4 linked regions of the Elephas maximus indicus genome follow. Each later gene encodes a partner of the first gene's protein in a complex. Links are inferred from orthologs where the notes say so. Each region holds a gene or a part of one and is shown on either strand. Other genes may lie near its edges.

Evidence for each region.
Region 2: STRN (region 1) and STRIP2 share a complex: the UniProt entries of both Homo sapiens proteins name them as parts of the core of STRIPAK complex. The link is inferred for Elephas maximus indicus from reciprocal best matches to the Homo sapiens genes STRN and STRIP2.
Region 3: STRN (region 1) and STRIP1 share a complex: the UniProt entries of both Homo sapiens proteins name them as parts of the core of STRIPAK complex. The link is inferred for Elephas maximus indicus from reciprocal best matches to the Homo sapiens genes STRN and STRIP1.
Region 4: STRN (region 1) and PDCD10 share a complex: the UniProt entries of both Homo sapiens proteins name them as parts of the core of STRIPAK complex. The link is inferred for Elephas maximus indicus from reciprocal best matches to the Homo sapiens genes STRN and PDCD10.

The regions. Positions count from the first base shown.
Region 1 is NC_064844.1:27,388,808-27,396,374, reverse strand, and holds the start of STRN (striatin), read right to left. Parts: upstream 3,012-7,567; 5' UTR 2,917-3,011; coding exon 2,683-2,916; intron 1-2,682. UniProt on the Homo sapiens protein: Calmodulin-binding scaffolding protein which is the center of the striatin-interacting phosphatase and kinase (STRIPAK) complexes.
Region 2 is NC_064826.1:20,707,194-20,715,120, forward strand, and holds the start of STRIP2 (striatin-interacting protein 2), read right to left. Parts: upstream 3,014-7,927; 5' UTR 2,975-3,013; coding exon 2,849-2,974; intron 1-2,848. UniProt on the Homo sapiens protein: Plays a role in the regulation of cell morphology and cytoskeletal organization. Required in the control of cell shape. Calmodulin-binding scaffolding protein which is the center of the striatin-interacting phosphatase and kinase (STRIPAK) complexes.
Region 3 is NC_064821.1:171,316,498-171,324,429, forward strand, and holds the start of STRIP1 (striatin-interacting protein 1), read right to left. Parts: upstream 3,012-7,932; 5' UTR 2,988-3,011; coding exon 2,808-2,987; intron 701-2,807; coding exon 628-700; intron 1-627. UniProt on the Homo sapiens protein: Plays a role in the regulation of cell morphology and cytoskeletal organization. Required in the cortical actin filament dynamics and cell shape. Part of the striatin-interacting phosphatase and kinase (STRIPAK) complexes.
Region 4 is NC_064841.1:33,488,953-33,496,876, reverse strand, and holds the start of PDCD10 (programmed cell death protein 10), read right to left. Parts: upstream 3,013-7,924; 5' UTR 2,851-3,012; intron 1-2,850. UniProt on the Homo sapiens protein: Promotes cell proliferation. Modulates apoptotic pathways. Increases mitogen-activated protein kinase activity and STK26 activity. Important for cell migration, and for normal structure and assembly of the Golgi complex.

The sequences.
Region 1 (7,567 bases):
GACTGACAGGTTCCTGAAGGGACAAATTAGACTTAAAGTGATTTTTGTTGACTTTGATGTTAATGGCTTGAGAAGAGATTTAAAAATTAAAACAAAGACATCAGCTGCTTCATATTTCATCGCAATTCATTCAACTCTTTTACAGCCTATTGTTTTTCCAGGAAAATTCCAATGGCAAAAGGGAAATGTTCAAATTTAGTGACGTTGGTAATTGAAGAAAGAAACACTTTCAATTATACTAATAAGGGAGACTCAGGCCACAGATTCCTGCCAACCCTCCCCCCTCCCTACAAATACATACTGTTTGAAAAAATGACACTGTTTAAAATTTTCTCTGCAGAAGCTTAATTTAATTTGATATTTAAGTAGACTTCTGTTCTCTGACCACGAACCAGAAGATACTGTAAAAGTTGTACCCTTAATATGATGGGGATTATGGGGAAACTTACCTAAAGTTCAACATTTGACATAAATAACCCAGAAACATATGTCTCTGTGTCTGTGTCTAAATTTTAAGATTGACCACCAAAACCAAAAAAAAAAAAAAACCCATTGCCGTGGAGTAAATTCCAACCAATCCTCTAGAACATAGAACCATCGGGTTTCCAAAGAGCAGCTGGTAGATTTGAATTGTCAACCTTTTGATTAGCAGCAGAGCTCTTAACCACTGTATAACCAAGGCTCCTTTTTTTTTTTTAAAGATTGACTACAGCACAGATAAAAAGTGTAGACATGGGGAATGGGGAGGAGAGAGGGGAAAGGATGGGGTGGGTTGGAAGTTCCCTAACTTCTACATGTAGGAAGGAAAGTATTGTTTTCTTGATTGCTTCTGACCGAACTAGTCTGACTTATCTCACATTCCCTAAACTGAAAAATAAATTAAAATTTAAGCAGCTACATACAATTATTTTCTTCAACATCAAAGTTAAATCACCCCTGAAGTCTGAAATCCACAGGTTTATTTACAGATTGTACTGCTAATAAAAGTGATGGTATAAGCAATCAAATCTGCTGATTACTTATACCGTCAGACTCATTATTATAAAAATAACAAACACGAAAAGACCAAATACTGTAGGGATGAAAAAGCTGACAAAGAATATATAAACATATAACCGTAGAAACTGTAAAAGCAGAATTGTAGAAATGGAGTCACTCTTGCTTCACTTAACTGCTTATATGTCATCTCCTCTGAGAAGTCTTCCCAGACCACCCCATCTAAAACAGCTACCCCATCACACTCTATTTCTGTATCCCAATTATTTTTCCTCATAGTAGTTGCCACTACAGGCCATCTTCTTGCCCCTCTCCCCCCACCCCCCCCATCTGCCTCCTGATTAAAGGCAAACTCCATGAAGGTAGAGGCTTTGTAGGTCTTGTTAATCCCTGGGCCTAGAATCACATAGCCAGCGCTCAATAAACATACTCTGAATAAATTATGAAAAGGAAGCCAAAAGTGGTTAAAGGATTTCCTCAAGGTCACAGTAGTAAGCACAGCTCGTACTAGAACCTGTCTCCTCTTCTCAAAGCCACTTCCACTACACCAAAGGAGACCATTCCAGCACATGGTTCTATTTAATAGATTTCTCCTTTTCTTTAAGTGCCAAAGAAAATGCACGTTACCAAACAAAGTGACACACTAGGTGGCATGTGAACTTCAAGTGTTTCCCCAACCAAAACTAGATTCATGTTTTGTAAACAGACAGGATTAGCCTATAAAATTGAAAGGTACAGCCATTCACAATTCTTTAAACTCCTTGTGAAATTTGTGTATGTCTTGGAATTTTCAAGATCAGCCACTGAAAGCCTACTCACCAACTCAAAATGGCCTGTAAAGTATCCGCCTCACTTTCATTCAACTATAAAAGCCACCACCGCTCCTCCCTGGATATACTTATCTTGCAGACTATGCATCAAAAAGCAATGTAACCAACTTTTAAGCCCCTGTAGTTCTTTTTAAAGTTATGGGATATCTCACAAAACAATGCAAATAAAATTAGCCCTTGGAAAGTTTTAGATTCTGAGAACAGGAACCATCTCTGAGCCACCATCTATCTGACTGTGATCATCTAAATCCTTCCTTCAAAATCCATGAATGTGAACTATCTCAAAGAAATGCGGGGGAGGGAGGAGGGGGTGGACTAGAAACATTTACATATCTAAAAAAAGTTAGTATTTCTAATAACACTTTTGCCTGAAGTCAAGGCCTTAATGACACAACTTGTTGTCTTTTTTGATCCCCTTCTTTTCAGAGAGCGGAGCCAAGTGCCAATACCCTTTGCTGGGAAGATCCCTAAGCCCAGGATGGGACACACCAGGATAGATGATTTGCTCGAGGTCTCTCAAAACTACTGTCAGCTCAATTAGTAAACTGAAAGGGATGACCTAAGATGCAGGATAGTAAGAGAGTTCGAATGAGACTGAGAGTTATGAGTGAGGAGCAGCAGGCGAAAAGCAGCGGGGAGGGTAAACAACGCACCAGGGGCGGGAGTGGGTACTGAGGTCAAGGAACGGGGGTCAGCGAAAGGCAAAGGTGAGGGGAGGACCGGGACGAGGTTCGGGTGGGATGGGCGGGAGCAAGGCGGAGAGGACAGGCGAGGGCCGGGGGAAGGAGGGGGCCGGGGCGGGGCGGTAAGGAGCGAAGAGGCGGGATGAAGTGGGCCAGGCCGGGAGGGTCTTTACCTGCAGCTCCGCCCGCTCCACCTCCCACTGGGCTCTCTCCACCTCGAAGCGGGCCCACTCGTGCTGCAGGAAGTGCAGGATTCCTGGGAGGCTGTACTGGGCTCGGGCTGCCCCCGCCGCGGCCGCCCCGTCGCCGGCCACGGCAGCCTCCGCCAGAGGCCCGAGCCCCTTGGCACCACCGGCGCCCGGGTGGTTGTTGCTGAAGAAGACGCCAGGACCCGCCTGCTCGTCCATGGCGGCCGCAGAAGCCGGGGAGCTGCCCAAGCGCCCAGCACCGGAGGCAACAGCGGCGGCCAGCAGCGCCTCCTCCTCCCTCCGCCGCTCCCCGCCCACACCCGTCAGCAGAGAGCAGCCGCCTAGGCGCGGGGCCGCCGAGCCCGTGACGGGCCGGGAAATGGGTCAACTGCGGCGCGCGGGCGGCGCGGGGCTTGCTGGGAAACGTAGTCGCGGAGCGCGGCGCAGGGCGAGCGCGGCGAGGCCGCCTTTCCGGCTGCGGCTGGGCCGGGGTGTGGCTGAGTCCCGCCAGCGGAGATGGGGGCCGCCGGGACGGGGAGTGGCGCTTTCCTCTCGGGCCGGCGTTGGGCGCCGGTAGGCAGCGCTCCAGCCTCAGTCGCATGCGGAAGTTCTAGGGCGGCGTTGCCTGTTTCATACACACATACACACGCGGAAGTTATCACGCCAAAAATACCAGAGTTGCACATCTTTTAGGGCTTCCTGGTAGTTCTGTTAAGAAACAAGCTCAAAAGCGAACTACCGTGATCGCGCCTGGACGGGTGTTCTCCACCCAGCTGACCAGTCCGTTCCCTTCGGCTCCGACTTGGGTGGTTCTCTGACCCTAGACTCTCCTCAGCTCTGGCAATCTGCATACCTCCGTCGCTTTGCCTCTTTTTCACTCGGAAGTTCAGACCTGTTTCCTGATCCTTTTTCACTTTTAAGAAGCTCTCGCCACCTCCCTCCTGTACTCAGCGCAGCAAATTTCTGCTTCTCTTTTCCAAATCCTGGTTTGTTGACACCTCATCTGAAAAACTACTGAAGTCCTGTAAAAGTTACAGATATCCAAGGCTTCTGGTATCTTGTTCTGCTTTTCTTAACCTTATCCCGCAGGTTTTTTACTCAATTCAACAAATTCTAGATTACTAGTTATATCCCACACCGAGGATGTAGAGATAAATAAGACATAGTTCCTATTATCAAAGAAAGATTGACATATGTATAACCAACTCTCACAGTACGTCAAAGCTACACTACCTGAAAGAACAAAATTCCCTTTCTGCTCCCTAAAGCTGTTTTAGGTATCCAGGCACTTCTCTTTTTTCCTTTGTCCCATTCCCAATTTCTTCCACCATTCACCTGCGAACTGGCAACAGTATTAGCCTACCAAAGGTACACCGAGTTCCTCTCCTTTTAAAAGTTTCTTTTTAATGTTTTTCTTCGCCAAAGTCTCTGTCATGTGACTACAAATTCACACTACAACGAAAATTGTTAACAAATGAAAATGTAATTGAGCCCCGGTACTGTCACTCTAACAAGTTATCTCTAATTCTTTTGTGGGATGAAAGTCTGCGATATGAGATCTGATGACCATGAAAAAATGTAAAGATATAGGCTGGTGAGTGACATGTAAGGGAAGGACATCCTGTCCCTATCCTGTCCTCCACCCCTTCCCATGAATCCTTGGGGGAAGGACAGGAAACACATTGTATTTATTCTGGTTGCGAATAAGGCATGGCAAGCTCTCTTCCCACAGTTATTGCATGTTTTTGCTTTATTATGATAAAAGATGCATCCAACCCTGGCCAAATTCCCTGTCATAAATTATTTTGACTTTTAGTGTCCTTTGAGATAGAGGCTAATCCTCTCATTTTACAGCCCAAGAAACCAAAGCCCAGAGAGGCTAGGAGACTTTTCCACAATGAGGCCTTTAATAAGTGGCACAGCCAAAAGTAAAACCCAGATTTCCTGACTGCTATTCTAGTGATCTTTTCATTAGCTCATTGCCTCCTCTTGTGTTCCTTATTAGACCTACCAGAACACAAAGGGGACAATTATGAATAACAGCATGCTTTGTCATCTGGGTGATTTAAGCGATCTTGTGGTTTTTATGAACTTTGTATGTTAAAAATTATCTTTTTCTCTAACATGTCCAACAATCCTTTAAATCAATAAATAACAGACTATAACACATAATTAAATTTAAACATAACCTGGACTATCACAGATATATAAAAACACTGTTTAAACTCATAGTGTAGTGACATTGCTTACAATACTATTATAGCTTTTTGCTTTTTAAGGACTTATGTACACACAAAATCAATTCTGTAATATTATGAGCATTTCTTTTTGCAAGAGACATTCACTCAATGTACCAAAATATTAGAAGTGATTATATTAAGGTAGAATTACAAAGAAAATTTACTTTACTTTTCTCATTTTCCAAAAACTTCTATAATACGATTTCTTTTTAACCAAAAAAAAAAAAATACTTTTTTAAAAAAAGGTCTTCCCTTGCAGTTCTTTTGCCTTGAATTGTTTTAGGAGAATGATTTCCTCCTATACGGAGGAAGGATAGTCTGGTGGTGTAGTAGTTAAGTGCTATAGCTGCTAACCAAAAGGTTGGCAGTTCAAATCCACCAGCTGCTCCTTGGAAACTCTGTGGGGCAGTTCTCCCCTGTCGTATAGGGACTGCGAGTTGAAATTGACTTGACAGCAGTGGATTTGGTGTTATACTGAAGCAGGGAGGCCGTAGTGGTGCAATGCTTAAAAGCTCAGCTGCAACCAAAAAGGCTGGCAGTTCCAACCCACCAGTCACTTGCTGGAGAAAGATGTGGCAGGCTACTTCTGTAGTTTTACAGCCTTGCAAACCCGATGGGGCAGTTCTACTCTGTCCTATAGGGTCACTGTGAGTGAGAATCTACTCAAAGGCAACAGGTATACCTAATCAACTTCTGAAACCATTAGTTTGGAATAATAATTTTCTTTTTTTCTTTCTTGTTTGTGTTTATCTGTGCTTTTCGAATTTTCTGTATTCAGTATGAATTACCTTTTTTAAATAAACGTTTTGTGGAGGTGTTATGGATTGAATTGCATTCCCCAAAAATATGTGTCGTAAATTGTAATCCCTATAACCTTGGTGGCACAGTGGTTAAGTGCTACAGTTCTACTCTGTCCTATAGGGTCGCTATGAATGGACTCGTCAGCAGCAGGTTTGGCTTGGTATACCTGTGGTTATAATCCCGTTTGGGAATGGGTTTTCTTATGTTAATGATACAGTATTACTGTAGGGCGTGTCTTAAATCAATCTCTTTGGAGATACAGATTAAAAAAGCAAGTGACCAAGCAGAGATGGTGGAAGATAGATACCAAGCCACGTGAAGATCACCAAGGAGTAGAAGCTCAGAAGAGACAAGGATCTTTCTTGACAGAGAAAGCCTTCTCCTAAAGCCAGCACCCTGAACTGAGACTTCTCGCCTCTCAAACTGTGAAAACATAGATTTGTTTGTTAAAGCCACCCATTTGAGATATTTCTGTTATAGCAGCACTAGATAAGATAGGAAGTGTAACAGAAAGCTTGACAAATGTTAAGTGAACACTTCAGTGAACTGTCACAAACTGTAACCACTACCCAGATCAGGACATGGAGCATTGCAAGCACCCAGGAGCCCCTCTCCATGTGCCCTCTCATTCACAACAGCAAGAATAACTTTATAATTAAAAAAAAAAAAAAAAGTTAAAAAATGAATGATTGGAAAGGACACGGCACTTGCATTCAGTCAAACCTGAATTTTCTTCCTGATGTTACAATTTTCCCAATCTGGAAACAAGGGCAAATGGTTCAACTTTTTTCCAGCCTCAGTATTCTGATTTTTAATATAGCCCACTACTGTCAAGTCGATTCCAACATATCAAACCTGTAGGGTTTCTAAGGCTGTAAATCTCTACAGAAACACACTGTCACATCTTTCTCCCACAGAGCCACTGTTGGTTTTGAACCACCAACCTTTTGGTTAACAGTTGATCACTTTAACCACTGCGCCACCAGGACTTCTCATGATTTTTAATATGGGAGCAACATTTACTTTATGGAGTTACTGTGAAGATTAAATGAGAGAAGACATGTAAATCCCCTAACACAGTGCCTGACATAATACACTAAAAAATGATAGCTGCTATTGTAATTTTTTTTTTTTTTTAATTGTAATAGAGTTCACAAGATCAAATGAAAACAACAGACTCCTGGCAAATACTACGGGCTCAGTGGTTGTTCTTTTTACCTTTTTCATTCCCTACTCAGAACTTTAATTCAGTAGAGTTAAAATAATCTTAAACATTAAGCCTCAGACCTCAGTGTTGCTGATTTCTTGATCTTTTCATTTTATAATTAATAATGCCTAAGTGACACAAAAATGCAAAAATGGGGTTCCCTTTTTAAGAACAGAGAACTCTCGTCAAAATGTTGATTTATCTATCAGTAAACCAGTTTAAAATTAAAAAATGGTGAAATGCTGATAGATTATTTAGATAATGGAGTGTTTGCTATTTTTTGGTTTATGTGTGTGTGCTTTGGTGGGGATGGGGATTCAGGTACAGGAAATTACTTAATAAAGCCCTTCTAGCCATAGTCATTGTGGCTTCCACACAATGATTGGGCGGGGCCACGCAAATAAGGAATATGGAACCCTGACAAGGTGTGGTGGTTGGAGTTGTGTGTCAGCTTGGCTAGGTCATGATTCCCAGTATTGCGTGGCTGTCCTCCATTTTGTGATCTGCTGTGATTTTCCTAATTATCCTCCACTATCTGATCTCTTTTTCTTGGGACTTGAGCCAGTGGCCTGCCATCTGACCAGCTGATTCTGGGAATCATCAGCTTCCACAGCCCTATGGG
Region 2 (7,927 bases), on another chromosome or scaffold:
GAACCAGTAGACCAGAGGATCTGGTTGCAAACAGGCCTGCGGTGAATCCTTTTGTTAGGTTAAGAATCTTTTCACTAAGGAAACAATTATTGTCTAGCTTCCTTTCTAGGCTGAGATTTTCATACAGTAAGCCACTGGGAGAGAGGAGGCCAAAAGTGTCCCTGTAAAACCGGCGGTGTACAAGGAACAAGGCTTATGCCATCAGAAACTCTCTTCTAGTAATTACTGAGAAGCCCAAGGGAGGAAAGAAAACCATCTTCCCTGAGGACTATCTTCTATAAAAAAAAAAACTATAGGAAAGCAAAAAGAAGGAGGGAAGGGAACACAGATAGTCATCTGAGCCTGGCACCTGGGTGCTGTGGTGACAGGGGAGGTACTGACAGGTAGAAGCAGGTCTCCTGCTGCAGCGAAAGTGGAGGGAAGCTAATCTTCCCAGCCAGCCTTTTGGCAGGCAATGACCACAGATAGCGGTGATCACTGCAGTTGCTGGTTTCCAGGCATGCATGGGAAGTGCAGCTGCGGGCAGTCAGGAGGTAACTGCGGCGCAGGTGGAAGGCTCGGAGTCCCTGGGTGCGGAGCTCATGCAAAGTGGGGACATGAATTCTTGTCTGAAGGGGCTGCAGCAGTTAATAGAGATGATATTTGTAAAGTATCTGGTATGCTCATGCAGTGCCATCAGTGCCTGGTGCTGAAGGAAGGCTTGAGATGCACGGAAGAGGCTCCTACCTCAGAAGGGCGATCTGGCACCTATCGCTCTGAAATTATTTTGATTTTTTTCCTTGAATATTATCTGCCTCCCCCCACTACTGTTTGTTCCACAAGGGCAAAAGACCTTGTCTTGTTCACTGGTGTATCCCTAGCACTTAACACAATACCCAGCATATAGAGACCAAACCAAAACCAAACCCATTGCCGACTCCTAGCAGCCCTATAGGACAGAGGAGACTTGCCCCATAGGGTTTTCAAGGAGCGGCTGGTGGATTTGAACTGCTAACCTTTTGGATGGCAGCCGAGCTCTTAACCACTAAGCCACCAGGGCCAAAAGAACTCAATAATTGTTGCATTAATGAGTTAACTAACCCCTCAAAAAAAAATTTTTTTTCCCAGCAAGAAAAATGTCTCTGTGAAAGGAGGCACAGGGTGCCCTAAAAAAGCCAGGTTGGTTCTGAGGCAGGGGGTGGACAATGTGGTAGACAATACACTGACCTAGCAAGGCAAAAGGGCTCCTGTACAACCAAGCTCTGTCTCTGCAAGGTGATGTGACTTTGGGCCAGTCTTTTCACTTCCTCCACTTCTATTAAAAAAAAAAAAACAGAGTGGGTTCCTACTATGCTTATTATGGAAAACAGAAGCATACAGAAAACCATTTTGTTAACTTTAAAGTGCTATTCAAATAATTAGCTGTAAATGACAAAGACCTGGCTTCTAGTACCACCTCTGCCACGTGGTGGTGGTGGCAGTGATGATGATGACAATGATAGTAATACAGTACTAAGAGCTACTACGTACTGACCAATTACATCGTGCCAGCATGATTTTAAACTTTTTCCATCCAATTATCTCATTTTAACTTTATCGCAACCTTCTGAGGTAGACAGTGTTAACTCCATTATACAGATGAAGAAACTGGAACTTAGAGTGGCTCGGTAATTTGCTAAAAGTCACACAGATAGTAAAGGGTAGGGCTAGGATTCAAACCCTGGTCTAACTGACCAGGAAGCTGGTGCTCCTGGCCATTACACCAGATGTATGATCTCAGGCAAGTCACTTCTGTCTCTTCCATCTGTAAAATGAAAGGGCTACACCAGATGACTCTACAGACCCTTTTATATCTGACATTTTGTGGTTCTATTAGCTTGATCCATGCTCAGATTCAGTTCTACTCTTGCCTATTTGATGAAAACTGGCCTGTTTGCAGGGTGAAGGGGGGTGGGATGACAATTATTCACTTCTTTCATCTTCCTAGTTAGGATTTCTTTTCAGGAGAAGAGGTAGTACCCAGTCTCCTAACTGTGGGTTTGAGTCCTGGGACTGTTCCATCCAAATACTCATGTACAGCCTGGCCTAATCCTGTCTTGATTAACCCTTACAGGTGGGGATCCTCACGTTTGTGGACAGCACCTCCTAAAGAGCCTAACAAGGCAGAGAGGAAGGCCAGCTCTGGGACCCTGTGGAGCCTTGGAGGAGGGGGGCGACTGCCCCCCAACTCCGACCCCTCTATTCTGAGGCTGAGCTCTAGCCTCCCCGCCGTGGGGCCAGTCACTTCACCAGCTCCCTCGGTTTGTCCTCAGTAAAATGGGAATAGGAGCTCCTCCCTCAAGGGGCTGCAGCGATTGACTGAGAGAACATCGACGAGTGTCTGGTACTCTCCACGCGCTACATCTTCGCGCCCCGGAGGAAGGCCAGAGACTAGAAAGCCCCCGACCCGCTGCAGGAGGCATATGGAGGGGGTCACCGGCCGCAGAGCCCGAACTCTAGAACCCCGCTGGCGCCCCTCGAGGGGCCCCGGGGCGGGGTGCTGGGGCCTCAGGGAGCCGGGGTCTCGGGGCCGGGGCGAGGGGCCCGGGGTCTCGGAGCACCGGGGCGAGGGGCCCGGGGTCTCGGGGCCGGGGCGAGGGGCCCGGGGTCTCGGAGCACCGGGGCGAGGGGCCCGGGGTCTCGGAGCACCGGGGCGAGGGGCCCGGGGTCTTGGGGGCCGGGGGCGTCGGGGCCCGGGGCCCAGGGTCTCGGAGCACCGGGGCGAGGGGCCGAGGCTCTCGGGACGCCTGGGACCCCGGGGCGGGGGAGGGGTCGGGCAAAATCACCTCAGCCGCCGCGTCCCGCCCGCGGTGTCTCCCCGGCCCCTCACCTCCGACTCGCGCCGCTGGCTCCGGAACGCCTCTTGGCTCTTGGGCGCTGCCTGCTTCGCCTTGCCGCCGTTGCTGTTGCCGTTGGCGGGAGGGCTCCCGGCCCTAGCGACAGCCGGCTCCTCCATTCCGCCCTGCTCGGCGCCCTGCGCGCTCTGCCTAGGGCGCCCCTGCCGCCGCGCGCTGCGAGCCCGACCCCGCCCCTCCGCAGCGATTGGCTGAGGCCGCTCGCCGCAGCCCCGCCCCGAGACTCGATTGGCTGTCCGGCGGCTCCGAGAGGGACTGGGACGAAGTGGGGCTCATTCAAGGGATACTGCGGCGTCGCTGGGAGCCGGAGCCTGGGGGGCTGGCTCCCCGCTCCACCTCCTGAATTCTGGGCCTTGAGCTCACGCAGGGTATCTCTGTTTCTCGTTTCCTGTTAGGGGAGCCCTAGTTTCCGTCTCCTGCCGCACTGCAGTCTGCTTTTCCATTATCGCAGACCCCTGCCCCTCAAACCCTGGCTCCTGCAAGCGTCCCAAATCCCGCTTCTGTCGCAGGGAGACATGGCACCGCCAGGTGGCCGGGGATCCTGCAGAACAGGAGGATCTCGGCCTTCATCCTCCCTGCAAGCTGAAATTTTTGAAGGGAACGCATCACTCCCCTCCCCTGAAGCGACGGCTTGGCTGGGAGACTAGGGAGCTGCGGGGTGGGGTCACGTTTTTAGTTTACAGAGATTGCTGAACGCTCTGGAAATTGAGGGCTGCTCCTGGTCATCTCTCTGCTTTTCCTTGCTGTTCTGGGGCGCCTTCCTCATGGTGTGAGTTAGGGAGTAAATGCTGAATGGAGATCAAACCACTAACCCCACTGGCTTCCCAGCCTTTTCCTTCCTTTTCCTCTCCTTCGTAAGGCTCGGGGTTACCGGGAGGGCGTGGTGGGGGGTGGGGGCAGTTGAGGCTGTGTGGACTGCCCTCTTTCGAATTTACCTAAAAAGCAACTTACAGTGAACATCTAGGGCAGTCTAGATTGGTCATAGGAGTCCCCAAACAACCCCCCAGAGGAGAATGGGTGACACCAAATCACCATCCACAGCCAGGAAGAGGTTGTGGGGGGGACTGCTGAGCTGAACCGCCCTCTGTGCCAGACCCTGCACTAGGCACTTTCTAGGTATCATATCATACCTCTCTCTCATAGGTTGTTTTCACTAACCTAATGTTACTTATGAGGAAACCAGGACTCACTGAGAACAATTACTCCTTGCAGTTCCCAAGGTATCTTACTCTTTCTTGTCTCAGTGTCTTTGAGTATGCTGTCCTGTCTGAGGGAAACTTTCTGTACTCTTGGTTGACTCCTTCCTTAAAGGTTCTACGGAGGCATCACTTCCTCCTCTGGGAAATCTTCCTTTGACCCTCCTCAACCCACTCAGGCTGGGCTGGCATCCTGCCTGGATTGAAAATCCTTACATTTTCTCCAAAGCAAGGGCACCAAAAGAATTACTCTTCCTTCTCATGTCTTGGGGACAACTCTAACCCATTCCTAACCATATCTCTCCCTCATGCTTCCCTCTGCTAGTCTGTAGGGGACAGATCAAGGCAGAGTTGAGAAGGGGCACTTCTTACAGCTATCTGGGTTCTTTTCTTTCCCTGCTCCCCAGCATCTCCTTATTGTACCCACCCGTTTCCTTTTTCTTTTCCCACCCCCCACTCCTCTATCATCCCACCCCCGCAAACCTGGATATATAAACTCCTTGAGAGTAGGGCCAAGTCTTGCTCATTTTTGTATGTTTCATTTCTCCATGTTAAACATATGGCTTCTTAATTTCTGTACTGTTGACATTTTGGGCTGGATAATTCTTTGCTGTGGGGAGCTGTTCTGTGCATTGTAGAATGTTTAGCAACATCCCTGGCTTCTGCTCACTAGATGCCAGCAGCACCTGCTCTCTCTGTGACAACAAAAAAGTCTTCAGACATTGCCAAATGTCCCCTGGGGCCAAACTCTTCCCAACAGAGACCCACTAGTTTAGTAGAATCAAACTGGTTTGAATTTCAAAAAAAGGCCCTGGCTCAAGGCCTAAGCTACTTGATTTTGGAATTTCTGGGGGATGGGGGCATAATCTGCACAACTCTTAAGAGATGCATGCTCTGCTTTAAAATTCACAGCCCACGCCTAGCTCATCACTGCTTTAGCGTGGTAAAACCTGCCACAGCACAGCCCATGGGGGCTTCTTAATAAAGAGAATTAATTATTCTACCTTCCCTTTTCCTAATACCTCTCTTCCTAGCAGCCAGAGCTAGGACTGATGGGCTGAAAACTTCACATTCTCTATGTGAACCTAGTCAACCAGCAGGACCCCCAGGAGAGACAGCAGATAGGAGGGGCCAGTTTTGAGGCTTTTTTCTTTCTCCTGCCTATCCTTGGGGAGAGTAATTTTCACCTGGGAGGAGAGTTGAGGACCCTCTCAAGTCCCCTCTGGCCTTCATCTCTAGCCAATTGCTGAGCCTAGAGCTCCATCTGGCTTCACTTTTGAAGAGATTTGAAAAAGTGGTGCTATGGAGACTGCAAAGAATCAATGGAGGAGAGACCTCACTCCATTATCTTTTCCACCCCCTAGAGGAATGGGAGACAGTAAAGATCAGACAGTCTGCTCATTCATTACAGACCCAGACTTTCAGAGCTTGTCATAAGATAGAAGGCATCTGGAAATAAGGCCTGTAAGAAATAACAAGAAACCAGAGATGAATTGAAAACTTTGAAACTATAGGCCATGGAATTGGCACGTACTCCCTTTCTTTTAGCTTATTTGTCAAGAATGACAGCCATCAATACTATTGACCACAGAGGCAGCCATAAATATATATCTAAGAGCTAATTAGTCAGGCCCTGGTCTACAAGTCTTGCCATCTTAGGGATGGCTCCAGTGCTGTTAATTTTAAGGCAGATGGACCTGCACTGCCAATTTTCTTTGTTCCCCAAATTCAGGTATTCTGAGCCCACTGGCAGAGGATTGTAAATAGGTATAATTACAAGGACCAAACATATCTCTTTCCCTCATGTAAACACTCTAATCCATGGGGATCAGAGACCTGATTGAATAGACTGTACCTGGCACTGAGAAAGTGTAAAAATATGATGCAAGTCTTAAAGGACTTGGTTTGTGAGGCTATCAGGCAGTGAGGATAATGTAGTAGAAAAAGCATAGAACACCCTCATCCACCATAACATGCATGTGTGGATGTAACGAGGCAATGGAAGCTGCAGGGCCCTGGAAGCTGCAGGGCCCTCTACTGAGGCGAGGAATTTCATGACATCAGTCGTTAAATCCTTACTCTAGGAGATAAGCACCATCCATTTTGCAGGCAAGAAAACTGAGGCTCTGAATGGTCATATAATTTGGCCAAGTCACACGATTTCAAACCTAAGTTAGTCTGGTTCAAAGTCCAACCTCTTTCCACGATACTGTGAAGAAATTGCACAATAGTGGGCAGCCTGAGCTTACCCTGTGAGTCTGAACCTAGGACCCAGGACACCCAAGGTTCCATCCTTCACAGGAGGCAAGCTCTGTTGTAGCGGAGCAGGCCTGGGTGTTAGCTGCTGCATCCTCCTCCTCTCAATTGGAGTGGTACCAGCTTTGAACCATTACCAAGGACCCAGACTTTTCAGCCCTGAGGCCCTTGAAAAAAAAGCCCTTAGCTTAGGTAAATTCCTGTGGCAGAGGATTCTGATAGGGAAGGAAGGGATGTAGGTAAGCATCTTGCATGTAAAATGTAGAGCCAGTTTAGGTTGTTGACTAAAGAAGGTGGCTACTCTACTGGTAAAGAAGAGACAGCTGGATTCATCCTCTAGTTTCTGATTGAGTCATGCAACCTGATTCATTTCTTTCTTCCTCTTGGTTGCATGTAGTCAGGTCCTGAGTGTCAGGGTGCTCTGGTCCCAAGCAGTGGGGATGCTGGCTTCCTGTGCTCTCCAGTTTAGGGCAGCACACACAGGAACTGGGAAACTTAGAGCCAGGCATTAGTATCTCTGTCCTAAACAGTTCTCAACTCCCCAGGATGTTGGCTCTGAGAAAGCAGGTCCTTTACACAACACAGCCAGAGAGGATTAGGTATTAGTGGAGTGCACCCCTACCCCCACCATGGAGTAAGGGTCTCAAGGCTAGGGCCATTCAAACATGCCTGCTGGTAACTGCTTCAGCTTTTCCCATCCTTTCCCTACAGTAGGCTCGCTAGCCTGTTGCCCATAGACTTCTCACATCTCTGCTGAGTTCCTAGTTCACAGAAGCAAGGACTACACTCAAAACCAGAATCCATTTTGGGAATATTTTATTTGTCTTTTGAGATTACATGGTCATTATTGCTGATCTATTACAATTACTCAGACATAAAGATTTCCAAGAGCCTCTCAGAAATGGAGATCCTCAAGGCTTTATTTCCTTTCAGTATGACGATAATGAGAACTAATGATTTTTTAATATATATATATAATATATATATGTATATATAGTTCAGAACTTGTCCATATATAATTTGCTGGTGTTGCCTATTTTATTTCTGTAATTTTCCTTTATTAAAAAAGCTTAATGCAACAATGCATTCTGATTTCATTTTTAAAACCATGATTAAGTTAATTTTGAGAAAACCACAGGAGCAGCAGTTTCAGATCTGTTCAGAGAAAAGTCAAGCAGCAAAAAAGCTTTGCAGGAGTATGTGGCCATGGGGAGCCGTGCTCAAATGGGAGGGTAGGATAGGGAGGCGGGAAGGTAGAGGGTAGTTAGATCAGATACTTTTTTTAATGAGAAAAATAGAACTGAATATTCCTATCAAGAAAGTAAAAAAAAAAAAAAAAAAACTCAAAAATTAGCACAAATTCATTGTAGAGAAAACGGTATGTATGCCCCACAGGCCAGGGCTACACACAAAGAAACAGGGATGAGCTATCTCTCCCATGCTTCCAGATACCCAGGATGCATCCAGATACCCAGGTCAGAGCGTGGAGGGAAGAAGGGACATTTGCTCTAATTCCAAGGGTAGAGCGAATAATGACCGGATTCCAACACTAAGGTAGAACCCAAATACTCAGGAGGCCGCCTTCTTAATGGCTGATGGATC
Region 3 (7,932 bases), on another chromosome or scaffold:
CTTGAGAAACAGCTTAAGCTGGCCTCACATCACAGGTGTGCTGCAGCAGCAGCGATGGGTATGCACTGACATAGTCGCACTTGCTGGCATCCCTTGTGACCCACTGCCCGAGGACAGATCACTGCTGGGGGATAATTTATGGAGAGAACATCACTAGCTGTCCCCACATTGGGACTGAACCCTACAGCTAACTGAGCTGACTACACACAGATGCTTCATAAAAGTGATGGGCAACCCCAAGTCATGAGACACTGAAGGCTTGAATTAAATTACTGTATTTTTACACAAATAATGCATACCTTCTGTGTTTTTTTTTTGCCAACTGCACACTCCCTCTACCCCCTACCAGGTATTTCCATAAGCACACTACGCTACCTTTTTTTTTTTTTTGACAGCTGAAAATATCTCCCAGGGAAAGGGCAAGGCTGGCAAACAAACATAGAAGGCACGCGTCATTTATGTAAAAATACGGTTACGTGTTTTATATATCTTATTAGTAGCACTAATTAAAGAAAAAGAAACTTCCAAAATATATTTACACTCTTAATTTTCTGAAAGAATATATCGATAAGGAAAAAAAAAATCTATTTCTTCCATTCCCAACCAATACAAAGTTCTGTGCTTTACCAGAGAGCTCTGCAGCCCACTTGTCTGTGTCTGCATACTCAAACTCAAGGTCTGGCGACTCGGAATAGCCCTGCTGAGAAAAAGAGAGAGCTTTATGCAAAAGATCATTCCGAGCATTGTTAAAAGAAAGAGACATATGCTCTCCAGACACAATGTTGTGTTATAGAACATCACTGTCTCCACTTTTTTGATGTTTTATCAAAATACTTTGTTTCCTGTCCTAGCTTATGAAACCAGGTGTCATCGATTCTGACTCATGGCGACTGCATGTGTGTCAGAGTAGAACTGTGCTCCGTGGGATTTTCAATGGCTGATTTTTCAGATGCAGATTGCCAGGCCTTTCTTCTGAGGTGCCTCTGTGTACACTCAAACCTCCAACCTTTCAGTTAGTAACTCAGCACATTAACCACGTGCATCACCCAGGGAACCCTCTCAGAGCATCTTATACTTTTCCCTCATAGCACTTTTTCGGTGTCAGAATTTTTGTTTAGTGTCTATCTCTCCAGGAGGGTGCAAGTTCCTTGAAAGCAGGAACTTGTCCATTTTGTTCACCAAAGATTTCACAATGCCCAGCAAAGTACCTGGCATGAATGAGTGAATGAATTAATAGTTTATGTCTCAAATAAGTGCTTGTTAGATCAGTGAACACAAAGCTTCTCTGTATTTTGTGCACTGAATGACCACTCTGCACGGTGCTAAGATTCTGGAAGTCTCACGTCTTTCTGGCTACTGGGCTATCAGCAGCTCAGGACAAAGTGGGTGTTGAAGCGCTTCAGCCTTCTTGTCCCTCTCCCCAATTTCAGTGAGAACTGACAGACGGAAAAGGCAGCAGCCTCACAGAATGGCTTCCCTCCCCCACACAGAGGAGAATTCGGCAAAGGAATAGGTGATTATTAAGAAGACACCATCTTGAGAGGTGCATTTTCACAACCCTCCACACCTAAAAAGGTATCAAGTCCTCGCCATGGCCCTCCCACCACCCCACCATGCAAGGGTTCCTGAAAGGTCAATTTCTTTGATTTTTAAACAATTCACTTCAAGCTCAGGGTACCTCTACTTTGGACTTGCCAAATTTTGACATATTTTACCAGACTTTAGGACCGTCAACAAAAAACAGAAGTCTGCGAGGAACTGATTTCACAGGTCTAAAGATAGTATCATCACTCTTTGGAATGACCCGATAGTTTTTCTTGGACAATGATGAATTCTTGCTCATAAATAAGAGCCTGACCGCTTGATCAGCTTCCTCTGAGTTGTCTCAGGTGAAGCCGACCTCATAGTAAGTGCCTGGGAACATGCTGATTAAGAAGTCCTAAAACGCTGCCAAGTGTGTGTCTTCATTCATGAATTCTACAAAAGGAGGCAGTGGGAGGAATTCTTTAACTCGGGGTGAGGTTACGAATCGACCAGCTCCAGACTAGAGGATTACAGTCTCTGGTACTGGAGGAACAGCCCACTAGCAAGAGGGGAGGGGGAAGAGGAGCCCTAAGGAACGTTGAAAATGTACATTCCTGATCTTAACAGTTCAGCATCAGGCGCACTGAGCACAGCAGCCACCAAACACTGTCACATCATGGCCTGAGCCTGCTAAGGAGAGAAACAGGGAGTGTTACTCCCTCCCATTCTTGCAACCTCTGGGAGCTAGTACTATTAGTGATAATTAGCTCCGTCCGGCTTCAAAGAGCCTTTTAAACACTGGCCAGTCCCTTCCCTGCCCACACACGCGGTCCACAGCGCGCTGCGGATCCACCGACCCGGCGCCCGCGCGCCTGGGATCAGCAGCCGAGAGACGACGATCAGGGGATGGGGGCGCAGCCACCTTGGCCCCCTAGAGAGCACGAAGACCGCTGACTCTTCACCCGCGAACTGGGATGGGGAGCTTTCCCTAGGGGCTGGGTCCCCCAGGCAGCGCCCACAGCCCCGTCCCAGAGCAGCAAACCAGCGATCACCCGGCTCCGGGCGGTTCTCCCGTGCGGCAGGGATCCGGGCGGGATCCCGGCTTCACGCCCCCGGCCCGAGGGGGGTGCCAGCCTTGCTTCCTGCTTCTCTCGTAAAGTGACAGCCTCCCGGCCAGGCCCGTCGACCGCTCTAGGAAGCGAGCTTAGACCCCAGAGCGGCCCCAAGTCCAGGACCTCCACAGCCGCCCGCCCGATGCCAGCCTCGCCCCCCGAGCTCCCGACCTCCGAGTCTTTGCGCTGGTTGCGGTTGAACTCTCGGGCTTTGCCCCCGGGCAGGAGGCCCCCGCCGGCCCGCGGTGCCCCAGGTGGAGGCTGCGCGGATGCGGGCGGCGGAGGTGGCGGCGGCTGCGGCTGCTTGTTGTTCACCATCATCGGGATTGGGCCGCCGGCTGCCGGCTCCATCTTGGCTGCTCCACACCCCCGGCTCAATTCTCGGACTGTCGCCGTGACCCAATTCTCGCGTGATTTCCTCCAGGAACTTTCCCTGGTCGCCATATTACGTGTGGCGGCAGGCGCTGGACGCCATCTTGACTGCCCGTCACCTCGCGAGATTCCGTTTGCCTGAAATATTCTTTTCCTTCTCTGCGTTTTTTGTTTCCACGTCTTCCTTCCAGTCCCAATTTAAATGTCATTTTTATCTGTGAGGTCTCCCCTTGGCTCCTTCGGTTAGTTTAGTTTGCCCCCTCCATCGCTGTAACTTCGCTTTGCACTTACCTCTGTTATAGCCCTGTTCCAGGCTTTGGGGATATAGCGGTGAACAAGATGAACAAAGTCCTGGTTTTCCTGGAGTGTACATTCACATGGGGACAGACATACACTAAACAAACAGATGAATAAATAAAGCAGTTACAGTAGTGAGAAGTACTAATTAGTCATTCAACAAACTTTTAATGAATATTTCCTCTGCTCCATTTTTTCCAGGCAGTGGGATAGAATGGGAAAAAAATGGGAAGCAAGTCAAATTTTTGCATGGGTACTTACATAGAGCCTAGTGGGAGAGGCACGCAAATAAACATAACAGGGAAAAAAGTACTGTGAGGAAACAAAAAAGTGTAAAGGATTAGAGGGTGAATGGTGGCTGGAGACTGGGGAAGGGGAAATGCGACTATTTTCAGTAGGCTGGCCAAGGAAGACAGACATGAAGATACACTTTTAATGAGTTCTGGAAGAAGTAAAGGTTCATGGCGGTAACACGGGTAGAAGGACCAGCTACGTGTCGGGGGCCCTGAGGTCATTGTGGCTGGAACAGAGTGAGTCCGGGAAAAAGTGGAAGGAGATGAGGGTCAGATGAGGCAGAGCCTTCAAAGTCACGGAAAGGAGCTTCGATTTTAAGTGAATCGGAAAACTATCAGAGGGTGTCAACCAAGGTGGTGGCATGATCTGATGTTTGAAAGACCACTCTGGCTCCTCTTGGATAAGGGATTGGAGAGTTGAGAGAGTAGATGAAGGTAGGCAGGTTAGGAGGCCATTTTAATGGAGATGATGGCAGTTTGGACTAAGGCTGATATTTCTATATTGTGTAGGTAGAGTTGAGAAGATTTGCTGATAAGCTGGAATGTGGAGGATAAGGCACTGAAGAATAAACGATGAGTCCTAGATTTTTTATTTGAACAACTGGGTGGATGGTTGTCTCAGTTATTAAAATAGGGAAGCCTTAGAGAAAGAACAGGTTTTGGGGAAGATTTTTGTTTTGGACATGTCAAGTTTGAGATGCTCATTAGACATCTAGGAGGTGATATGTAATAATTACCTGTTACTATGTTGTGACATGCTTGGAGACACCTTATCCATTTTTGTCTCTCCAGGACCAATATTGTCCCACCTAAACCAAAACCAAACCAGTTGCCGTCGAGTTGATCGAAGCGACCCTATAGGACAGTGTAGAACTGCTTCATAGGGTTTCCAAGGAGCAGCTGGTGGATTTGAACTGCAGACATTTTGGTTAGCAGCATGATCTCTTAACCACTGCACAACCAGGGCCCCATTGTCCCACCCAGTAGGTGCTTAAAAAGCCTTTGTTGTAAATTAATAAATCCAGAGCCACCATGTTGCTGTTTTCTCCTACCTACCTTCCTGTCCTTTGCCCCAGTTCCCTCTCATATCCAGTAATACCATTTCTAAATTAGCATTTCATCCAAGCTGAACGGAGCCAACTTTATAGGAAAAACTAAGGAATTTACAGGAAAAGGACAAATGTTGAGAGACTTCTTAGATAAAATCGGTAATCTCACACAGCCCAGCATGCAAGCAGACATCTAGTTTCAGTGAACACAGCTTGGTCAAGTTCTAAGACTGACTTATCATAAACTCTATCACCTGGAAAATTATTTTTTAGACCTTCCAATGCCCTATACCGTTTCAACTACATTCAGGAAAGGGGAAGGTTTTGGTTCAGTAATTCCACTTCCAAGAATAGATCCTAAGAAAGTAATCACATATTTAGACAAAGATATATGTATGATGATGTTACCAGCAGTGATACTTTCAAACATGAAAAGTTAGGACTAACCAAATTTGTGAAACAGCCAATAAGAAAGTGGCTAACTGAATAACGGGTATACATAGGATAGAATATGGAGAGACCACTAATATTTGTGCTTAATAATACTAAGAAGAATTTTTAAAGACATGGAAAAATGCTGTGATATAATTGAATACACAAGTGGTTCTGCGTGTGTGTGTGTGTATAGAGAAGAGACTGGAATGAAATACACTGACCTCTTAATAGGTTTTATCTCTGAATCGATGTGATAACATATGTGGCAACATAGGTTATTTTCATTTTCTGTGTACTTTCCTGTGTTTTCAAAATTTTTATATTCAATCTATTTTAACAGCTTTGTTGAGCACATGTTTAAGGTATAAAATCTGGTAAGTTTTAGCATACAAAAACACCCATAAAACCATCACCACCATCAAGATAATGAACATAGTCATCACCCCAGAAAGTTTCCTTGTGGCCCTTTGTAATTCCCCCCCACCCATTACCACTGCTCCCATTTCCAGTCAATCACTGAAAAACTTTGTTACTATAGATTAGTTTGCATTTCTACAATTTCATATAAATGGAATCACATATTATGTATTCTTTTTTTTTTTAGCCTTTCATTCAACATAATTATTTTGAAATTCAAGGTATCAAAGCTCATGAGTAGTATTCCATTGCTTATCTAGTCACCTGTTGATGGACATGTGCATTGCTTCCAGTTTTTCTTGCTTGTTCAAATTCAATATCCACAGGTAACACGGCTTTTTTTTTTGTTTTTTTTTTTAAATAAATGCTTGTGTGGTAACTGGACTAACCCAAAAGCTAAGAAGTTTCCTGAATACAACCAAACACTTCAAGGGACAGAGTAGCCAGGGCTGGGGTCTGGGGACCATAGTTTCAGGGGACCTCTAGGTCAACTGGCATAACAAAGTTTATTAAGAAAATGTTCTGCGTCTCACTTTGGTGAGTGGCATCCGGGATCTTAAAAGCTTGTAATCGGCCCTCTAAAATATATTCATTGGCCCCAACCCACTTGGAGTAAAGGAGAATGAAGGAACACCAAAGACACAAGGGAAATACTACTCAAGAGAAAAAAATGACCACATAAACCAGAGAATCCATCAGCCTGTGACTAGAAAAACTAGATGGTGCCCGGCTACCACCAATGACCGCCCTGACGGGGAACACAACAGGAAGTCCCTGACGGGGTGGGAAAAAAGCGTCACATAAAAAGACCAGACTTAATGGTCTGACTGAGACTGGAAGAACCTCTGAAGCCATGGCCCCCGGATGCTCTGCTAACCCAGAACTAAAACCATTCCCAATGTCCACTCTTCAGACAAAGATTAGACTGGACTATAAAACATAAAATAATACTCCTAAAGAGTGTGCTTCTTAGTTCAAGCAGATACACAAGACCAAATGGGCAGCTCCTATCTGGAGGCAGGATGAGAAGGCAGAAAGGGGCAGGAGCTGGTTGGATGGCCACGGGAAACCTGAGGTAGAAAGGAGGAGTGTGCTGTCACAATGTAAGGACTGCAGCTAATGTCAAATAACAATACCTGTATAAAATTTTGTAGGAGAGATTAACTTGAGCTGTAAACTTTCACCTAAAGTTAAAAAAAAAAAAGAGAGGCTTCTGTGGAAAACTTTCCTGAATGAAGTGCTGTGTCCCCAAGCTGTGACCAGGTCATGAATTCTAAATAGAACTACTTAAACTGGCACCATTTTTGAGTCCCAGAGAGTCCTCACTTTACCTGGCAAAAGCTCCTTGAACTACGCTTCACTTGGCATCTGGAAGGAAAAATAATCCCATAGGAGAGGGAGCCAAACATGTCCCTCTTTTGCTAAGAAGCTACCAGAAAAGCACAACTGAATAGAGGGTAGAAGTTACAGAAACATCTTCAGACTTTTTTATTCCTTCTTTCCTTATCTGTCAAATAGTTCTACCTGCCTTATGAACTGTGGATTAGATGAGTTAATTTATGTGAAGTCATTTTGGAAACTGAAGCATTGTTAAAGAGAGACAGAAAGAGAGTTGTTGTTAGGTGCCATCGAGTTGGTTCTGACTCATAGCGACCCTATGCACAACAGAACGAAACACTGCCCAGTCCTGAGCCATCATTACAATCGTTGTTATGCTTGAGCTCATTGTTGCAGCCACTGTGTCAATCCACCTCGTTGAGGGTCTTCCTCTTTTCCGCTGACCCTGTACTCTGCCAAGCATGATGTCCTTCTCCAGGGACCGATCCCTCCCGAAAACATGTCCAAAGTATGTAAGACGCAGTCTCACCATCCTTGCCTCTAAGGAGCATTCTGGCTGTACTTCTTCCAAGACAGATTTGTTCGTTCTTTTGACAGTCCATGGTATATTCAATATTCTTCCCCAACACCACAACTCAAAGGCATCAGTTCTTCTTCGGTCTTCCTTATTCATTGTCCAGCTTTCACATGCATATGATGTGATTGAAAATACCATGGCTTGGGTCAGGCGCACTTTAATCTTCAAGGTGACATCTTTGTTCTTCAACACTTTAAGGAGGTCCTTTGCAGCAGATTTACCCAATGCAATGCATCTTTTGATTTCTTGACTGCTGTTTCCATGCCTGTTGATTGTGGATCCAAGTAAAATGAAATCCTTGACAACTTCAATCTTTGCTCATTGGTCCAGTTGTGAGGATTTTTGTTTTCTTCATGTTGAGGTGCAATCCATACTGAAGGCTGTGGTCTTTGATCTTCATTAGTAAGTGCTTCAAGTCCTCTTCCCTTTCGGCAAGCAAGGTCGTGTCATCTGCATAACGCAGGTTGTTACTGAATCTTCCTCCAATCCTGATGCCCTGCTGTTCTTCATATAGTCCA
Region 4 (7,924 bases), on another chromosome or scaffold:
GTACTCCAGAATATGACTTCAAAGAATGAAAAATACAATAAAACATTACTGCACCACTCCAGGAAACTCTGGTGGAGTAGTGTGGTTAAGAGCTACCAATGCAAGCCAAAAGGTCAGCAGTTCAAATCCACCAGGAACTCCTTGGAAACCCTATGGGACAGTTCTACTCTGTCCTATAGGGTCACTATGAGTCGGAATCGACTCAAAGACAACAGGTTTGGCTTTTTTTTTTTTGGTTTGCACCATTCCAGCATAGATGAAACATCAAAACTATAATCAACCTTAAAGATAAAAAGAAGACAAAGTGGTAGAATCGAACTAAGGCCAAAGCCAACATACAATGAAATACACCAACTATGTTATACTTAATTTCATTTAACTTATTTTCCAAGTTTTCCTGACTTATTCAAAAGCTCTTTTAGTTCCATGCAAAAAGTTACAATCACTTCCTACCTCCCCCAACAAAAAACAAACGTCATTTTTACCACCTAGAAAATACACTAACATGCTTGTTTTACCGTCACTGACTAATGCTCAGTTCATGGTCTGCTTAAACTACCTTTTTAATATTTAGCACAGTTTCCTCACATAGTTTTCCATTTGTTTAGCTGTTCTGCCTTCCCTGTGTACTACATTACTCTAGGTACTACATTATTCTGGATTTTACTTCATCTGTAGGATCATAACTTGCTTCTATTTTAAAGATCACATTAATTTCCAGACCACTTTAACTTCAACCATAGGGGAATATAATACATTGTTAATAATAAATTGTAGAGTGTATTAAAAATTCAGCATATTTTAATGATCAATTTATAAAAAAGCCAGCCATGACTGGTCACCTGCTAACTATAAAAAAACCAAACTTGTTGCCGTGGAGTCAATTCTGACTCACAGCGACCCTTCAGGACAGAGTAGAACTGCCCACAGAGTTTCCAAGGAGTGCCTGGTGGATTCAAACTGCCGACCTTTTGGCTAACAGCCGTAGCTCTTAACCACTATGCCACCAGGATTTCCGCTGACTATAACTAGGTATCTAATTATTGGATAAACTTATTACAAAGAAATTCTGATGTCAATGAACTTAATCCTGACATTCTATTAAAGAACTATTCAATAATAATATTCATTTTTTTTTTTTTTTTATAACTGGTCATAACAACAATCACAGGGTGTAAGACTGGAACGAAGGAGCCCTCATGGTACATTGGTTAAAGCGTGTGTCTGCTAATTGAAAGGTCTGTGCTTTGAGTCCACCAGCTACCCCGAGGTACAAAGATGTGGCACTCTGCTTCTGTAAAGATTTACAGCCTTGGAAACTCTATGGGGCAGTTCTCCTCTGTCTTATAGCGTTGCTGTGAGTCAGAATGGACTTGATGGCAGTGGGTTTGTGTTGGGAAGACTGGAGCAAGCACACTGCTTTCTGCTTGATATGAAACATAAGCATCCTTTTTTTTTCTTTTCTTTTTTCACTCTCTAATGTAAAATAAGGACAAATTAAAAGAAAAATCATAGGAAAAGCATATTAGATCCAGATTTTATTATTTAAACACACACAGACCCAGGAATATAAAAATCCCAAGCAGGAAATTTGATGTTACCTCTGTGGAAAGCAATGTATCTCCCTTACTTGTATCGAGCACACTAAACTCTCTGGATACTACCTTATTTGAAAAAAGTATAAAGTAAGTTTTATGGAATAATTCCAATACCACTGTCGTCAGTTTTACAAAATAAGAATAAAAATAGTCCTAAAATAAGAAATGAAAGGAATGTTCTTGTAACTAGGATGTAATATATTGCTTAGTTGACATTCTCTTATCTCCTATATACCCTTTAAAATGGAATGTGGTAATAATACAGGCTATAAATTTATCATTTAATATACTTCTAATAATAAGAAAAATATGTTAAGTTGAAACTGATTTTTAAAAATTTTTCTCAAAGGTCAGAGTGGGCCTTTCCTCTAGACTGAGGAATTTCACCCCAGCTCAAAATTAGTAACTCTTCACCTCACAAATGACTTCTTAGAAATAACTACGATACACTACTTCGTAACTTCCTCCACCCTGCACCTTTTTAAAAAGACACATCCAACCTCCCTACTCTTTCTTTCTTGAGAGGCAGTTCTGACTCAGAAGCTGGACTAGAACTGGACAAGATCTGTCCCTACGTGTGTGACACTTATTGCCTCAGTTTCTTCATTAGCAGCAGGATGTGAAAGTACTTTGAAAACAGTAAACAGGTAAACATCTTAGGTATTACACATAACAGGGTCAAGCTTTTCTACTCAGGGCAAAATTGCTCCTTACAGAAGCCACATCAAGAAACTGGAATTTAATCCGTGGGTCCCCGTCAACATTTGACCCGTCCTTATACAGTTCTCTTCTCTCAAAGGGCATAACCCGAGTCACCCCTAAGAGCAGCCTCCCATACACTCCTTCCTTCCTCCACTCCTCCCCATCCTACCTCCAAAGCAGGGGGGAAACAGCAGCCTCATCTCTCCGCCTCTAGCCACACCTTCAGACGACCCCCCCCCTCCCGGCACATCCGCCCTCTGCCCTTTCCCGGGGCACCAGAGGCCAGCCTCGCCCTTCCCCTCCCGCCCCCACCTAGAGGAAACTTCCTGGAGGCGCTCAGGCCCAAGCCCGGCAGGCGGCATTTACAAACCCCCTTTACGCCACTCGCGTAGGGTAACCTCACTTACGCCCATAGGGCCCCGCTCCCAGCCCCGTCCGCTCCGCCTGCCAGAGGCAAACCCGAGTGCCTTAGCCCCGGCCCCTGTGTGACCCAGACCTCTTCTGCTCCGCTCAGACCTACGGGGACTGAAACAGAACACCCACACCTTACCGGCAACTGGGGCACTGACTCCGCTTCCCACCTTTGGAGCCCTCTTCAACTCCCGGATCAATTCACTCCGGCGACGCCGGAAGGACCCGAGAGGAACCAGGCGTTGTCCGGAATCCTGCCCAGCCGGAGTCGCGCAAGGGCGTATGGGGACTCGTAGTCCCATCCGAGGTCCTTGCCGGCAATTCCTGAACTCAGACGACTACAGTTCCCGGCAGGCCATGCGGAGGAGCCTAAGGCGATGGGTGGGGACACTTCTAGCCAATAGTTAAAGAGTTCCCTGCCTTTGCAGTAGGTGAGATGAAGAGAAAGGGTGCACGGAAAGCAGAGGAAGGGCGGGGTCAGCTCTCACCTGCGCCAATCAGGGTGCAGGGTTGCCCCGCAGGCAACTCACCCATTGTGGGGGCGGGCTAGCAGAGCAGAGGACGGAAGGGAGGGAGGGGCCCAAGGTGGGGAACGTGGGACTGCTTGTATGGGTATTCCGCGCGGGCTGAGAGGCAGCCCTGGGAAAGTCATCTCGGCCAAGGGAAGGCGCGGTGTGGAGACGCGCCGCGGCCCGAGGAGCAGCTTCCTCGAGAACAGCCGAGTTCCAGGCACTCCGGGCTGCCGGAGCCGCGGGTCGGGGCTGGATAGGCTGAGCTCGGGCTGTCCGCGGAGGCTCTTGGGCGGGGCTGGAGGCAGCTCCAGGTGTGAGGCCACCGAGTGAGGGGACAGGGGTCTCCAGGGACAGGCAGCGGCAGAAGAGCTGCAGAAGTGCAGGAGCGGGAGGTACCCGGGCAACGGCTTCCCGCCGCCTGCCGCCCCGGCTGCAGCAGGAACAGCAGGGGGAGGAGCAACAGCTGCCGAATTCGCCAACTAGAGGAGGGGGAGGCGGAGCTTGGGTCCCTGTAGAAGCTGAAGGCGCCGCCTGGACTGTAGTTGCCCGGGAGAGACGAGAGCAAGAGCAGGAACAGGAGCTGAGCGCGGTCCTCGGAGCATCAGCTCCATCATCCCGCGAGGGGTTGCAGGTGTGTGGGAGGTAAGCGTGGGTGCTTCTTCCAGGCGTCCACACACTGCAGGGTTTTACTGCCCATGAAAAAGCCTCTTCTATAGGAATTGTGTCAGGGCACAGCCAAGAGAGTCTCTGCCTCAGGCTAGGAAACCGGTGCAAACCCTTTTGAGTGAAAGACGTACATTTTTGGACTTTAAGGGGAAAAAAGCAAAAGGTGGCTAGACCCTGGGCATAAAAGGGCGTGGTTAGTGTTTTCAGTTGTAGCATTAAAATTGTTCTGGGAGATTCCAAAATTGAGGGAAACCCTGCTGATTGAGGACAAGGTGGACGATAATCTGGATAGGTGCGTAGCTAGTAAAAAGCAAAAATGTCATTGATACAGAATTACTTCAGAACTCTTCCACTAAGAAAATAAGTTTGCATTCTTCTTCAGTGTCTGCCCTTTAATGTTGGTTTATCAGGTTGTCCTGCTCCGACCTGTTTTCCAGGGTGGTTGTACTGCAGGTTCCTAGAATTGAAAGAGATCTGTGTTAAGGAAGCGAATGCAGGCAGGAATAATCAGTATGACTGAACGTATCAGAAGTATAACTTTTGCCAGCAAACATGTAAAAATGTGTTTTAATGGGTGGATACTTAGCTTTCCTTCCAGTGGCTCTGGAATATTGAAACAAAGACCCGGACTCAGCCTACAGTGGGAACATATAGCGTACTTCATTGCTCCTTATTCTTTCATTTGTGTCCGGTAATATTTGTACATTTAAAAAACAAAAGTACAAGAAAAGCTGTGTAAGGATCTCTCCTCTGTAGAGAGTGTGTACTGAGTGATTGCCCTTAGTATATGTTGTGATGGCTTCAGACTTAAAAGACATGGAGGGTCATAAAATAATTCACAGTATTAAATCGTGTGTAAATCTTTGAATGTAATTACATGCTGATGGACGGAAATACGTTTTAATATTAGGCAAAGATGGAAGTTGCCTCTGTCTTTTTATAACTGATACAATTACAGCTGTTCTTTTCAGAAAAGTATGTAAAAAGATGTTTGCCTACTTCATTTGCCTTTTTCTTTTCGTTACAGAGGTTCCCCAGATTACATGGCTTTTAATCATGGTAGCATATTGCAGCAGAGTTTGCTCTGAAATGCCTTCATTGTGACAGTTGTATATTTCAGAGAGTCTGTCTGAATACTTTAATCTGGATTTTCTTGAGCTAGGGCCAATAAAACAGAATAATTGCTTTCTGTTTTCTTTTTCACACTTTCTTGCTTTACTTAAAATCAAAAATCAGACCCATTACAGTCGAGTCAATTCCGACTAATAGAATTTTATTTTTCTAATGTGCACAAAATTCCTTTTTGAAAAGACAAGGCTCAAAGGAGTTCTATTTGTAGTTTAACATTCACTCCTATAAGTGCTTAATAGCGTAAGTGACTTAACAATATATATATACTCCTTTTCAGCACCCCCTCCTGCATTCACACACCAGAGAAATATTTAAAAACAAAAAAAAACAAGAAAGAAAGAGCTGCTTTTAGATTGTCCAGGAGCAGATCAGGTGTTAGAAGAAACAGAGCTTTGGAGAAAGAAAAAGCAACGGCAGCCACCAAACTTCGTAGCTATTGTAAGGATCAGATTTTATCTTTGCTACGTCACAGGACAGCCTCTTAATCCACGTAGTTGATTATTTGATGTGAAATGATTTTAGGGGAGAAAAAGGAATAGGGTATAGTGAGGTTTAGAAAAGATTGTGTTTGCCCTTGTTGTTTGTGATTAAGTGGATTGTCCTAAATCAGAGTCTTAGATTCTCTCTCAGTCTCTGCTACTGATTGATTTTGTGAAATCGAACAATTACTGTCACTGGCTTATTTCCCCCATGTAATAATAATAATGACAGTGAAGTTTTTTCAGAGTGCTATTAAAAGATCTTTTGGAAAGCATTTGGTTGGGAAAGCAGTTAATAGTCAAGCAAATAGGGTAGAAAATAAATATCAGAAGAGTTAAGATTCAGATGAACTTTGAATTCCAACTACTTACAGGCCTTTTGTTCTCAGCTGTCATAAAGGCTAGAATCTTATCAGGAATGAATGAGTTTGTGGTATTCAAATACTAAATGTTTTGCCTGTTTCCCAGATTCGTATCTTAATGTGTCAATGAAAGAGATTGGGTTCTTGTTTATCATTTAAGAGTAGAAGGACCATGCTTTTATAGGGGAGAAAATGATTGCCAATGTATACTACATGGGCATTTATCTATTACCTTGAACTCTTAACACATTTTAAGTTGATGTTTATACCAAATTTCAGATTATCTAAAGACTTCTGTTGACTCTACCAGTGTTGAGACAGTTATTATATGGCAGTTTATAATTTTATTTAAAGCACTCCCTAGGTTAAAAGGGTATTATTTAGTGTTCTTGAGTTTTACTAGTTGCGTATACGTATCAGGGAGATTGGCATGATACAAAAAAACCTGTTCAGAATGTCTCTCTTAAATGGAAGTTTCTCTGGGGATTACAGTTCTTTAGTCAAAAGACTTTGTTAATTTCCAGTTACATTATCTTTTGGATTGTTTTTTAAACTAAAAATTCTGACTCAAGCCTATTGAGTAAAAATAATTGAGTAGCAGGGATTTCTCTTTCTAATGAGGATTCACTGATTCATGCAGGACCGAAGAGCAAGACGGTTTTGGTGCATGTAGAGGGGGTGCCAAATAGGAAGAAAGTTGCTTGAGGAATATACCCTTAGCAAGAGAGAAAAGAGATTTGACTTTTTTGTTAAGGGACTTCACCTTTTCTTTTTTTTTTTTTTCCCTAATCATTAATTTCTATAGGCATATGTCCAAAGTGGGAGACATTACTTTCCTACATTGTCATTTTAACTAGAGTCAGGCCAACATGAATTCATTGCATTTTGAATAATAATGGATCATTAGAGCAAAGCAGAAAAGACCATACATATATGTGTTCACTTCCATGTGAAACATATTATTTAAAGCAAAAAGAACAAAAAACCTAAAATAATGTTTTCCCCTTTAATAATAGAGGTACTTGAATCAGACAATAATGATGAACAAGAGCTTCTTTGGGGGGGCCAGGGGGCCCTTTTTATTTATCTATTTTTTAAAGCAAACTTCTAAGGTTAGACACTGTTTTGAGGATCAACATTTATCATTATGTAAAGATAAAGGTTTTATTTTTTATAGTCTTGCCTCTAATTTTTTCAGACTTTGGAACGTATTTTGACTAGATTATTAGCTTCTTGAGACCATGTACTTATTTTCTATCTCATGCAGTACCTCACATAACACTCAACATAAAGAAGTTGCCCTATATCCACTTACTGAAATTAGAAATATTGGCCAGTATTTCTTCGATGTACACATTGAAACATAGTTTGAGAGACAAGAGTCAATCAATCCTATAGAATATTTCCGAGAATTGCTTTGTGCTGCTTAGCCTTTGCAGAAGTGTAGATGGAGGCCAATTTGATTCAGGCTGTGGTGGGCTGCAGACTCATCTACGACTCTGGGTTCCAAAGTTTCTACATCCGTTCCTGAGATAGAGAGTATGTGCCAGGAGAAAAGGCCCCCCAACAGGTGGAACCAAAGGGCTGTCCCTAGCTCATCACCATTTTACCTCAAGTTCCTAGACACATACCATTTTTGAAGCTTGATTATAGGAAGAAAATTTTATTGCATAAAAACTGAATTTGCTCTTCCATTTTTCTAGTCATTCCTTTAAAAACAGGAAAGAAGAAAAAATCCGATGGTGCTTAAGCATATATGGAGGTGGGCATTTATTTATTTATTTTATATGTGATCTTCCAGAAACAAATTATCCTTATCAGTGTTAGAATTAAGAACTTGAAGATATTTTTTTCTTTTGTTATTATGAGACATGGAGAATTTTAGCAAATTGTAAACAGTTCTTTATTAGAAGTAAAAGCAAATAATAACAGATATTTACCTGGATTTTGTTTGGTTAATTTTAAAATACCTTTGCCAGATGCTGATGGATACAGGTTGACTTAGAAATGATCATTCATCTCCCTTCTTCACGTTCGTTTGGCACTACTCTTAGCAGTGATTA